Coturnix japonica: one gene and its partners. Each later gene encodes a partner of the first gene's protein in a complex. Links are inferred from orthologs where the notes say so. Each region holds a gene or a part of one and is shown in the gene's direction. Other genes may lie near its edges.

The links.
Region 2: GATB (region 1) and GATC share a complex: the UniProt entries of both Homo sapiens proteins name them as parts of the heterotrimeric GatCAB amidotransferase (AdT) complex. The link is inferred for Coturnix japonica from reciprocal best matches to the Homo sapiens genes GATB and GATC.
Region 3: GATB (region 1) and QRSL1 share a complex: the UniProt entries of both Homo sapiens proteins name them as parts of the heterotrimeric GatCAB amidotransferase (AdT) complex. The link is inferred for Coturnix japonica from reciprocal best matches to the Homo sapiens genes GATB and QRSL1.

Annotation. Positions count from the first base shown.
Region 1 is NC_029519.1:29,502,186-29,505,839, reverse strand, and holds part of GATB (glutamyl-tRNA(Gln) amidotransferase subunit B, mitochondrial), read left to right. Parts: exon of another isoform or gene 1-409; intron 410-417; coding exon 418-551; intron 552-910; coding exon 911-989; intron 990-3,654. UniProt on the Homo sapiens protein: Allows the formation of correctly charged Gln-tRNA(Gln) through the transamidation of misacylated Glu-tRNA(Gln) in the mitochondria. The reaction takes place in the presence of glutamine and ATP through an activated gamma-phospho-Glu-tRNA(Gln).
Region 2 is NC_029530.1:8,238,575-8,242,150, reverse strand, and holds GATC (glutamyl-tRNA(Gln) amidotransferase subunit C, mitochondrial), read left to right. Parts: upstream 1-1,269; coding exon 1,270-1,449; intron 1,450-1,922; coding exon 1,923-2,089; intron 2,090-2,164; coding exon 2,165-2,268; intron 2,269-2,563; coding exon 2,564-2,619; 3' UTR 2,620-2,966; downstream 2,967-3,576. Other genes in the region: TRIAP1 (TP53-regulated inhibitor of apoptosis 1), read right to left, coding at 868-951, 1,125-1,271. UniProt on the Homo sapiens protein: Allows the formation of correctly charged Gln-tRNA(Gln) through the transamidation of misacylated Glu-tRNA(Gln) in the mitochondria. The reaction takes place in the presence of glutamine and ATP through an activated gamma-phospho-Glu-tRNA(Gln).
Region 3 is NC_029518.1:61,914,907-61,918,560, reverse strand, and holds part of QRSL1 (glutamyl-tRNA(Gln) amidotransferase subunit A, mitochondrial), read left to right. Parts: intron 1-1,276; coding exon 1,277-1,453; intron 1,454-3,261; coding exon 3,262-3,437; intron 3,438-3,533; coding exon 3,534-3,646; intron 3,647-3,654. UniProt on the Homo sapiens protein: Allows the formation of correctly charged Gln-tRNA(Gln) through the transamidation of misacylated Glu-tRNA(Gln) in the mitochondria. The reaction takes place in the presence of glutamine and ATP through an activated gamma-phospho-Glu-tRNA(Gln).

The DNA of each region.
Region 1 (3,654 bases):
CCTTACTCCATGAGTCCAAAATAAGTGATTGCAAGATCAAGAGTGAGGTGTCTATAGGCAGTTTCAGCCAGAGTCTTTTTTTGGTAAATGATAGCGAGACTGTGTATGGAGCATTATATTAAAATTTAAAGACAAAGGACAAGATGAAAAAGGTTCTCCCCAGGTATTAATTTAAAGGAAGATGTGAGAGAAAGATCACTCAACTATGGAAGTTATGTTAGAGCAGGCTGACATCTGATAAGCTGTATGCGTGCATTCTAGGCACACTGTAGTTTGTTTACTTATTATAATATTACTCCATAGTCTTGCAGCTTTCTTACTTTCTTTAGTTTACTTTAGCATTTCTAGTCTGACTCAAACTGTGTAATTAATCAGCTTGCATTTCAGTATCTGATGCATTTAATTTTTCTTTAACAGAATGAAGATGGATTAATGGAATTCTTTGAAAGTGTGGTAAAACAGACCCGAATGAAGCCAAAGAAAGTGATCGGCTGGATTCTGAGTGACCTACTCAGTCACTTAAAACAACATTCCCTTACAGCAAAGGAAAGGTCAGGCTTCTCAGTTACAACAGTGGTGAAATAAAATTGCTCCTTTTCTCATGTACCAAGAACAGTATCATGTCACTCTGATGCTGACTTCTGCTTTAGTTATCATCTGTGAGGTTGGTTATCCTAGGCAGTGCTGCTTAGGCCTTGACACTGTCATGATTAATGAAGTTAACCAAATGCCTTCCAGAGAAGAGGGCAATGATAAGGCATAATCAGGCAGTCAAGATCAAAATATGGTGTATCACGGGGGGAAAAAAATACTAGCTTGTCATGCTAAACTGTGTGACATTTAGACAAGCAACAGTGGCATAAATCTGTTACTTGTCCTCTTCTCTAACTCCTGTCCCCCTTTTCCACAGCCCCATCAGTTCTTTTCTCCTAGCCGACCTTCTGAACCTTCTAGAAAACAGAGACATTTCTTCTTCAGCAGCCAAGCAGGTATTTTTTGATTTCGCTGTACTTTGAATCCACCAATGCTTATTCCATCTGCATTCATTGAGTACCAACGAATTGGTTGCTTTAAATTATTCAAGGTGTTGATGAAGGATAAATTTTGCATCTGTGCCATATACATTTCATGGATGAAAATGCCTTGTGTAGTGTAATATCTTTTCGTGCTTAGTGTTATAAGGGGGCATAAACCAAACAGTAGTTCTAAGCTACAGTCAGTTAAGTCAGTTCTGCTTCCGAACAAAGCAGATGCTACATCTCAGTCTGGTAGCTTGAGTAGCACCTGAGGAAAGGTTGGTGGGAATTAATCCATGGCTTGCAATTAAGCTGAGGGTATCAGCTAGTATGTCCAAAGGGATACTGGAGCCTATATTGTCCAGTATTGGTGTATGGAAAAGGATATCAATCACCTGACTGTAGTCACAAAAAAAAAAGTCTGATATGGTGCATTCCGTGAGTCTAACACAGAGACATTTGACCTTTCTTTTATCCTGGCTTCTTATAGCAAGCGCTGCCAAGAGTCTCCTTAGCAAGGAGTGTCTGTAAAGCCAGTTTCCCTCTATCATTTTGCTTAGGACAGTCTGAAAAACCAGCACTTCACACATTCATCTCTTAATTTATGAACTGCTTATGATGGTAAGGTAACTCTGGTGCTTACTGGGCAGAATCTGGAGTTCTTTTGTGATAGGAGATAACTGCCGTTCTCCTCAAATTCTCTATGTGGGGTTTGTTGTCCTTTCAGGTGAGTTACTGTGCTCTGCATTTAAATACTTTAGTTAACCATTTTTCCTCAGGTGGCTGTAAGCAAAATTGTTGAAGATACTTGCCTTGCCTGCTTTCTAGCTTTTACCTCTCTTCAAGTTTCTTACCTCTCTGCACAAGGCACGTTTCCGCCTTTCTAGCACATGTTGATTGAGTCCGAGTACAACTTTAAAGCAATACAGGCATTAGTTCACTCTTGATGTGATTCTAAAGCCAGAGCTGCAAGTGTGGCTCTTTTTCCTACTTGGGAACACTTCCTGTTTTTGGGGGGTTTCTTTTGGAGGTACTTGTGGATTTTGATGATGTTGGCCTCCTCTTCAGAATAGCCAGCTGCTTTTTATAGGCACCGTAAATACAGATTTAAGTGCCTGACTTCAGGCATGTGCATCTGGAAATTTTGGACTGGAAAAGCAAAAGCTTCAAAAAGGATATAAAATATTAACAGGGAAATACACTGGGATGCAGAGCAGTTGTGTGCCTGCAGGGCAATGGGACACCCGTTATTTTGGGGTCTGCATCTGAAAAGGAGCTCAGAACTCCGTTCTAAACTCTGCTTCCTTCTGGAGGTAGAGAGGTACCGATGCCCCTCCACTGGAGTCCTTTCCTTGTGATAAATCTGTATGCCAGCACTTCTGACAGGTTATGAAATGTCAAGAATTTCAGAGATGCCTTTCTTGTTTAATTACCAACTCCTTGTAATGTGCATGTTGTCCTCTGCGTTCTGAAACTGGACACAGAGAAATAACAGTCCTATTTGCCATCACCGAGTGATGCTGTCAAACTGCAGGAACCTCGCCACATTTAGAAAAGTATTTTGGTTGCCTGGATGTCAGAAGAATAACAAATGTTTATAACAATTCTCAGCAGTAGGCCGAGATGCTGGATGGCCTGAGGGCAGAAGGGGCTATATATATATACACAACAGCAGATGAAGTGCAGCACTCGGAGTGGAGGAGAACGAATTGCAGTGGTAGAGACAGATCCAACTAGAAGCACTAGCAGGGTTGATGGGGTGAGCACACAGACTTGCATACACATACGTGCTCGCAGCAGGAAGCTGTTAGAAGTTTTAATTTGTTAAGAGGATTGTGTTCAGTCTCTGCTGTATAAGGCATTAAAACACAGATAAAAGCTGCGAGTGCTGATTATAGACACAGAACATTGTATGGTAGGATGCATATGCCAAGGAAAGGGCACGGTGTGCTTACATAATTACCACTTGGGTAATTACGGAGCTCACGCCCAGCTTGCCATCAAATATAGCATCCTACCCCAGAGGCCTCCAAAGCGGTTTCATGCTGGCATGCCTGTATAAAGGGGAGCAGCCTACAGCTCTGCTGGTGTGCAGGGCTGTGCAGTGAGCATGTCCTGCACTGGGGAGGCCTGCACAGGCACACGCTATGCATGGCCTCCCCCTGGAGGCACCATTTGGATGTCAACAGTGGAATGCAACTCTACTATACTGACACTGGTCTGATGGGAGTATGGCCAAAGCTGGACCTCACTGCTCGCCGTTAGGGCTTGGCAGTATGCACATCTGTGGCAGAAGGAACCTGGTTTTCAGCGAGGGCATTGTGGAAGGAAGGTGGTTCTTGGGTCAGGAAAGTAGAACGAGGCTTTGGCTGTTGAGAGCTGCAGCAACCCTGTGGAAACACCCCATTGTGTGTTTATTGGGGACCTGAGCAGGGTGTGGAGAAGAGCAGGCCCCTTGTCTTGTTTGCTTGTGTGGTTGCATGGGTCACCCTCACAAGAATAACTTCAACAGACCCACTTGGCACCCCTACTTCAAAGTAGGTAGCAGGAAAATGAGTACAGTACACAAACCTAAACAGAAGCATCTGCTTTGACTATTACGGTCGTACCATCTGGAGCAGTGAGCCCAGCCTGCCCC
Region 2 (3,576 bases), on another chromosome or scaffold:
GCGTTGAACTTCTCAGCTGTGAAGCTTCAGTTCAGCATCACTGTCACTCAACACTTTGATTATCTCAATCAAAGATGTAACAGGAGTTGTGGCCAACCTGGTGCTGTGTGGTCGTGTGTGCAAAGACAGCCAGGCCTGCGCAGTTCTACTGCAGTGACACATTACATTACAGGAGCAAGAACTCAGATTCAGGATCACTTCAGTACCTCGGAAAAGGCCAAAGAAAGTGGCCTCTGCTTTCACTGTTTCTTCAGTTCTGTTGCAGGCTGCCTCTGTCCCTCCTGGAGGTCATAATCAGACGTTACCAAACAGTCATCCACCTGAACAAAATATAACTTCTTACATTTATTTCATTTAAGCTATTGCAAATCCAGCAAAAGTGCTTTTACACCATCTCTGTTACTGGCAAAACCTGTGCTTTAGGCCCTTGGTGTTTGGGATCATATAAACCAGCCTCCTTCCACCCAAATTCAGCACCACAGAGATAAGACAGAGTAAACCAACCTTCTTGTTAGACGCTTCCTAACATCATAAATAAGCAAGATAAACGGGTCAGAGATTAACTACAGGTTCAACATCTCCCATTATAAAGTACATTCGACAGAAGTTAAATCATCTTTTTGCACTGTTATAAGCCGAACCACCACCACGATTCATTGGGAAGGAGGCAGCAGGCAGCACACCGTGAAGTCTTTTGGCTCGCGGCAGTTTGTTTCTACAGGCACAGAGGAAACCCCACTTCCTACAGTGCTACATGGAGGAAGCAGCTCAGCAAAGCGCTGTCCCGGTGCATCCATCCTGGCTGCTGGGTGGCCGCCGTTCCCAGCCCGTGGGCTCGTATCACTGACTCCCCGCATTCAGCTGAAGTCAGGAGGAGTTTTCAGCTTTCCCTTTGCTCGGGCCCATGAACTCCAGCCCTTCGATGGGGATGTCCTTCTCCTTGATGGCTTTCTGGGAAGAACAACAACAAAACGGTTACGTTGGAAGCACGTTTCAAACGGCACCGAGAAACAAAAGCTTCTGTTCACAACGTCATCTACAAACAGCAGCGTCAGCACCGCCCCGCACGGGCTGCAACGGCACGATGCTGGGCTGTGAAGGCGGCGGCTCGGCAGGGCCCGCACCTGCACGCACAGCTGGTAGCGCTTGAAGAGCTGCCCGCACGGGTCCCCGTCGTTCTCGCCCTTGAGGAACTTCTCTGCGAACCAGCGGTTGAAGCACTGGTCGTACTCGCGCTTCAGCTCGGTACACGCCTCCCCCACGCTATTCATGGCGGCACGGCCCCTCCGACACCGCTACGACGCGATTCCGGCGCGTAGCGATGACGCCACAAACCGCTTCCGGCGGCGCGAGATGTGGGTGCCGGGGTTATGGCGGGGACTGCGGGGCGGGACGGTGAGAGCACTCAGGATCAGCGTGTGCACAGCCAGCGCCGCGCCGACACCGCAGGTCAGACAGAGCACGGGGCCGGGCCGTAACGTACCATGCCATGCCATACCCATACCTATAACCATCACCATACCATGCCATACCATACCATACCATACCCATACCTATACCCATACCCATACCTATACCCATACCCATGCCATACCATACCATACCATACCATACCATACCATACCATACCATACCATACCATACCATACCATACCATACCATACCATAACCATATCATAACCATACCATACCATAACCATACCATAGCATAACCATACCATAGCATAACCATACCATAGCATAACCTAACCATACCCTACCCTAACCATACCATACCATACCATACCATACCATACCATACCATACCATACCATAACCATACCATTACCATACCATACCATACCATACCATACCATACCATACCATACCATACCATTAGTGGAGGTAACGGTTTGAGGAGCCCCATCTGTGCTCTCTTGCAGGACGGCGTCACGATGGAGGTTCTCGACCACCTGGAGCGCCTGGCCCTGGTGGATTTCCGCGATGCCGACGGCGTGGAGCGGCTGCGGGACGCGGTGCGATTCGCGGAGCGGCTGCGGGAGGTGGATACGGAGGGTGTCCAGCCCATGGACTCGGTGCTGGAGGACAGGTAAGGGCCGTGTTGGTGCCCCGTGCACATCCAGCCCCAATGTGCTCCATGCAGACCTCCGGCCGCTGTCCTCAGGTGTCTTTATCTGCGGGAAGATGACGTTACCGAGGGGAACTGCACGGCACAGCTGCTGAAAAACGCCACGGAGAAAGTCGAGGAATACTTCGTAGCCCCACCAGGTACCATAGCTTCTATAGAACTTTTGCATCGTGCTCGAGTTAACCCAACACCTTCCAAAGTAAGGGATGACTCTAATCATCTGTACTAACAAACCAAACCTGGAGCAGGCTGCAAGCTATTGAGCCTAAAGCAGTAGAGGGGTTAATGTTACCTTACAGCTCCTGCCCAGCACTGCTTACAGGAAGGCAAACAGAACTTCCTGACTTCCCTTACATGCTCACAAATCAGACTGCAGTAGCACTGTACGTTAAGCTGCACTGCTCACTGGTCTCTCACAATTCTCTTTTCTTCCAGGTAACATCCCTTTACCAGAGATGGAAGAACGAGATACTTTCCTGAAGGGCTCATAGAGACAGAACCCAAACGCTGTTTCTATATTTCATTTGGGATTACTGCGCTTTGTGTGGGGACAGCTGAAATACCCCAGGAGGGCAGAAACTCCTCCTTAGATCAGAACTGAGTGTCACCTACTTTACACAGTGCGTGTTCTGTATCTGTTTGTAGGGAAAAAAAGTCACTCCCACTTTGCTTCTCTGTGTTTCTGTGTAATGAACAACACCAGCTTTGTGTAAGCGTTCCTTGGCAGAGATGCTAAACAGCCATAATTGTAATTATTTTTCCTATGGAGTCTATATTCTGCATCCCTACAAACAAGACGTGATTAATAAACCAAATCTCTATGCCAATATCAAATTCACTGCAAAGCTTGAATATTAGAGCTTGTGTCAGGTGTGTCAAGAATCAGACCCTGCAAACCCTCCCTTAAGCACAGCCTGGTGAGAGGACAGACCGCCTGATGCTTGTTCCCTGCAGCCTCAACTGTCTTACATGTTAAAAACACATATTTCCTTAATGAAGGGGTTTGTAACAATGTCCTCGCTAATGAGGGAATTACAGCCCTGACTCAGATCCCCACAGCTTGCACATTAGGAGCCCTTGCATAGGGTGGATGAGCTGCCTATGGGGCAGCGTGTTGGTGTCTCTGCTCCCCCCAGCCTGTGTAATGAGTTGGTGCTGCCCTGTGGGATGGCTGAGCTGCACCCAGGGGGAGGAGGCACCCCTGGCTCATATCCTTACGTTGTTCTGCTACAAAACAATTGAAAACAACAGGTAAGTGAGGCAAACATAACACATCTCTGTCAAACAACTGTTCTTCTCAGTGGTTTGTTGCAGCCAAAAGCAAAAGGTCTGTTTGGTTAAACAGAAAGGAAGGAAGCCACGTTCTGAGCTGCAGTAGATGCACTGGGTTCCCCTGGAGCTGGCTTGGCCCACACCTGCATGTGTTCTCTTTCCAGCTGTGCAGCTCT
Region 3 (3,654 bases), on another chromosome or scaffold:
GCAGCATCCAGTAGCCTGGGACAGCCCTAATCAGAAACAGAAGCCTGTGTCACCAGATCTACTGGGTACTGAAAAGATGTGCTTTAGTGGCCATGGTGGTAATGGGTTGGCAGTTGGACTAGATGATCTTAGAGGTCTTTTCCAGTCTTAACAGTTCTATCAATGTCCAGGGCTTCACCTACCAATGAGAAACATTAAGTGTTGCGTTTTGGCTTTGTTTTTATTTTAACCAAACCCATGCCTTTGGCTTAGGTGGGTTGAAATACTTTGATTGGATCATTGTGGATAAAGTCATTTCCATGTCAGAGATGTGCCTCAGAGGGAGAGCAGGGAAAAAGCACAGGAGAAGAAAAAACAACCAACCCCGACCTCCCCATTATGCAGGGTTAGAAATAATTTAAGCTCGCTTGAGCACAGGATTCTGCTAAGAAGAGTTTTTTCACCCCTGGCCTCTCATTTCTGTACTGTGTATTTTCACAGTCTCATGCCATCACCAACATGGCTGCACCATCAGCTTGATGAGAAAGCTGATCCAGCTGAAAAGCAGTGTCTCAATTAGGTTCATTTTCAACTGCCAGCTCAGCTGATTTGGCTAATAACACCAACACTATGGAGCTGGAGAACCTGAGGTAGCAGTTGCAAGGAAGATGGAAAGCCCCTCCCTGCTTCTGGTGGCAGCCTGCATCTAGATTACCACAGTCTGAAACCAGATTCCAACAAGCCAGTCTAACACTCTGAAGCATCGAACTATGACCTCAGGGGAGAGCTATAGAGCAAGAAATAGTGGGTTATTTACATTGGAGCACTTGTTGCCACTAATTGTGGGGCTTTCCCCCCCTCCTCCAGTGTCCCACAAGGCTGTGGTCATCTTTGTGTGCGTTTTCCAAATGCAGGCTCAGGAAGCCAGAGTACTTTTGTTTTGTAGCAGATAGTTTTACCTTTAGGTACGTTAAATCTGTTTCATATTTTTGTTTGCATCCTTTCCAGTGGCATTAGAATCACAGAATGGCTCATGTTGGAAAGAACGTTAAAGCCCACCTGCTTCCAACCCCTGGCCACCAACAGGGTTACCACCCACTAACAGATGCTGAGGTTCTGTGGTAGTGAAGGATGAATATTCCTTTGAAGATCTCAACTTGTGCATGTTGTCTGTCTGTACTAGACTGTACATAGGTCAGACTTTTTGTGTTGAAAATGAATGAGGAACTGGATAAAGAAAAACTTGGAGAATGCAACGTGTTGTCTGTCACTTCTGTCTGTCTTCATTCTGTTATAGGTCTGGGAGTACAGATGGGGTATTTGGACCAGTCAGAAATCCCTGGAGTTATTCAAGACAGTACAAGGAAAAAGTTGCATCCAGATCTGATTCTGAGCCTGAAAACTCTAACTGGGTAATAGCAGGAGGGAGCTCTGGAGGCAGTGCAGCTGCTGTATCGGCTTTCACGTGCTTTGCGTAAGAAGCTTTTTAGAATTGTTTCTAATTAAATGCCTTGAAATATGCTGCAAGGTTTTGACTTAATAATTTTCTAATAATGTAGTTTAAATTGTAGAAAAGCTGTTGATCTTCTCTGAGATGGGAGCGTTGTTTGCTCTGGCATGTGAGAATTCATTTCAACATCATTGGTTTTTTGTGGCATAGCATGAATCATAGAATCATAGAATGACCTGGGTTAGGAGGGACCTCAAGGATCATGAAGTTCCAACCCCTCTGCCTGGCAGGGCCACCAAACTTCTACAATTACTAGATCAGGTTGCCCAGGTCCCCATTCAACCTGTCCTTGAAGCCAGCATGATTTCTTGTAGGCGGATTTAGGCTTATTCATTTAGAATGTTGTTCAGTGTAGTGATGTAACTGCTTTGCACTGCATGAGGTAAAAAGTGATAATGGCAGTAAAGGAATGACAGCATTATTGTTATTCCCACATACTCTTAAAAACAATGGAGTTTGAGACATATCTTCTACCTCTTTATGTTAAAGACGTACACACTGAAAACTTAATTCAGTATGACACAATACCTGTCAACTTATAACAGTATAGAAATCTTTCCTTCTGGCCTTTGTTTTTATAGCTGAGCGCGTGATAATATAAGTGAGATTTGACGTCCACAAGCTTTCAAATACCCAATTTGAAAACAGGAAGCCAGTTTATAAAGATATGTGAAGGAGAGTTTTAGTTTATTCAAAAAAGATCGTATTTTTTTTACCACAATTATCTGCATGGAATTGCAACACACTATTAAACTGACTGATTGTTTTTATCTCTTCCTCACCCATCTGTTAAAAGAAATCTGTTCCTTAAAAATTCACACTTTTCATTTTATGCAGTTTTGAGAGCTACATTTCAGAACATATTTTCAGTTGTGTTCTTAACTGGGAGATGATTTAAGTAATCTTTAGTTATTATGTCTTTGTTTACCCTTGTACTGTATGTGTCTGCTTGTTAAACTATTTTTGCTCCCAGTGATTACTGCTTTAAAAAAAAACACACATTTTTATGTATAATACTTAAGGTTATATTTTTTTAGTCTGATTATAGTACTTCTGTTTTAAGTGGTCTTTGAGTTTAAAGTCACTAAAAACAAAAGAACCTTAATTTCAATGCAACTTTAAATTCCGCTGAAATTTTTACAGTGACAATTTCAGTTTAGAACCAGGTTTCACTTGTGAAGAAGCAGTAAAAGAATTCAACTTAAAGAAGAATTGCATTGAAACTACACTAAACTGGAAGTTCTACTGTACTTTGTAGGCTTGGAAACAGGAAGAACCTCTTACCTGGACTTTGAAAAGCATGCCTTGTTATTTGGGGCAAAAAGCATACTGTGTCACTGCTGCTTTGTATGCTGGAGCGTGATACTTCATATCATCATTCATTAGTGAAGAAATAATCATGAATATCTGAAAAATCATAAAATAAGCACAAGACATCTTTCACAGACCACAGAATTGGAACAGACCAACTGAGAAGCAGGAAGTAGGTATTTAGGGCCCTATTCTGAATGCCCGGTTTCTATTTGTCTACCTCTGATTTGTAGGGAGAACCAGTCTCTCCTTGTGGCTAATTCAGAGGCCCTAAGAAAAATGCTGAAAACAGCTGAAAAATAGCAGATGTAGGGCGTAGACTAACATTTAGATTGTCATAACCAGACTTTTAGTCAGGAAGAACTCAGACATTTAAATCCAAGCATCATAAAGCCATAAATATTTATTGTTTGGAGATACTCTCAATCATTTTACTAATGGCAATCCTTTTGAAACCATAGAGCTTTAGGATCAGACACAGGAGGATCTACCAGAAACCCTGCTGCTCACTGTGGTGTAGTAGGTTTAAAGCCAACATATGGACTGATCTCTCGCCATGGTCTCATTCCTCTAGTGAACTCCATGGATGTGCCAGGAATCCTAACCAGATGTGTGGATGATGCAGCAGTTGTGCTAGGTATTACTACTACATATATCTTTGCTCAAAGCAAGCTGAATTTCATCTACCCAATATAGGTTTTCCTGTTCTTCAATGTGTCATGTCATGTTTCAGGTACACTTGCTGGACATGACCCTAAAGACTCTACCACAGTTCAAGACACCTTTCAGCCATTTGCACTGCCAAGTTTGACTGATGTCAGCAAGCTCTGTGTAGGAATTCCTAAGGTAACATT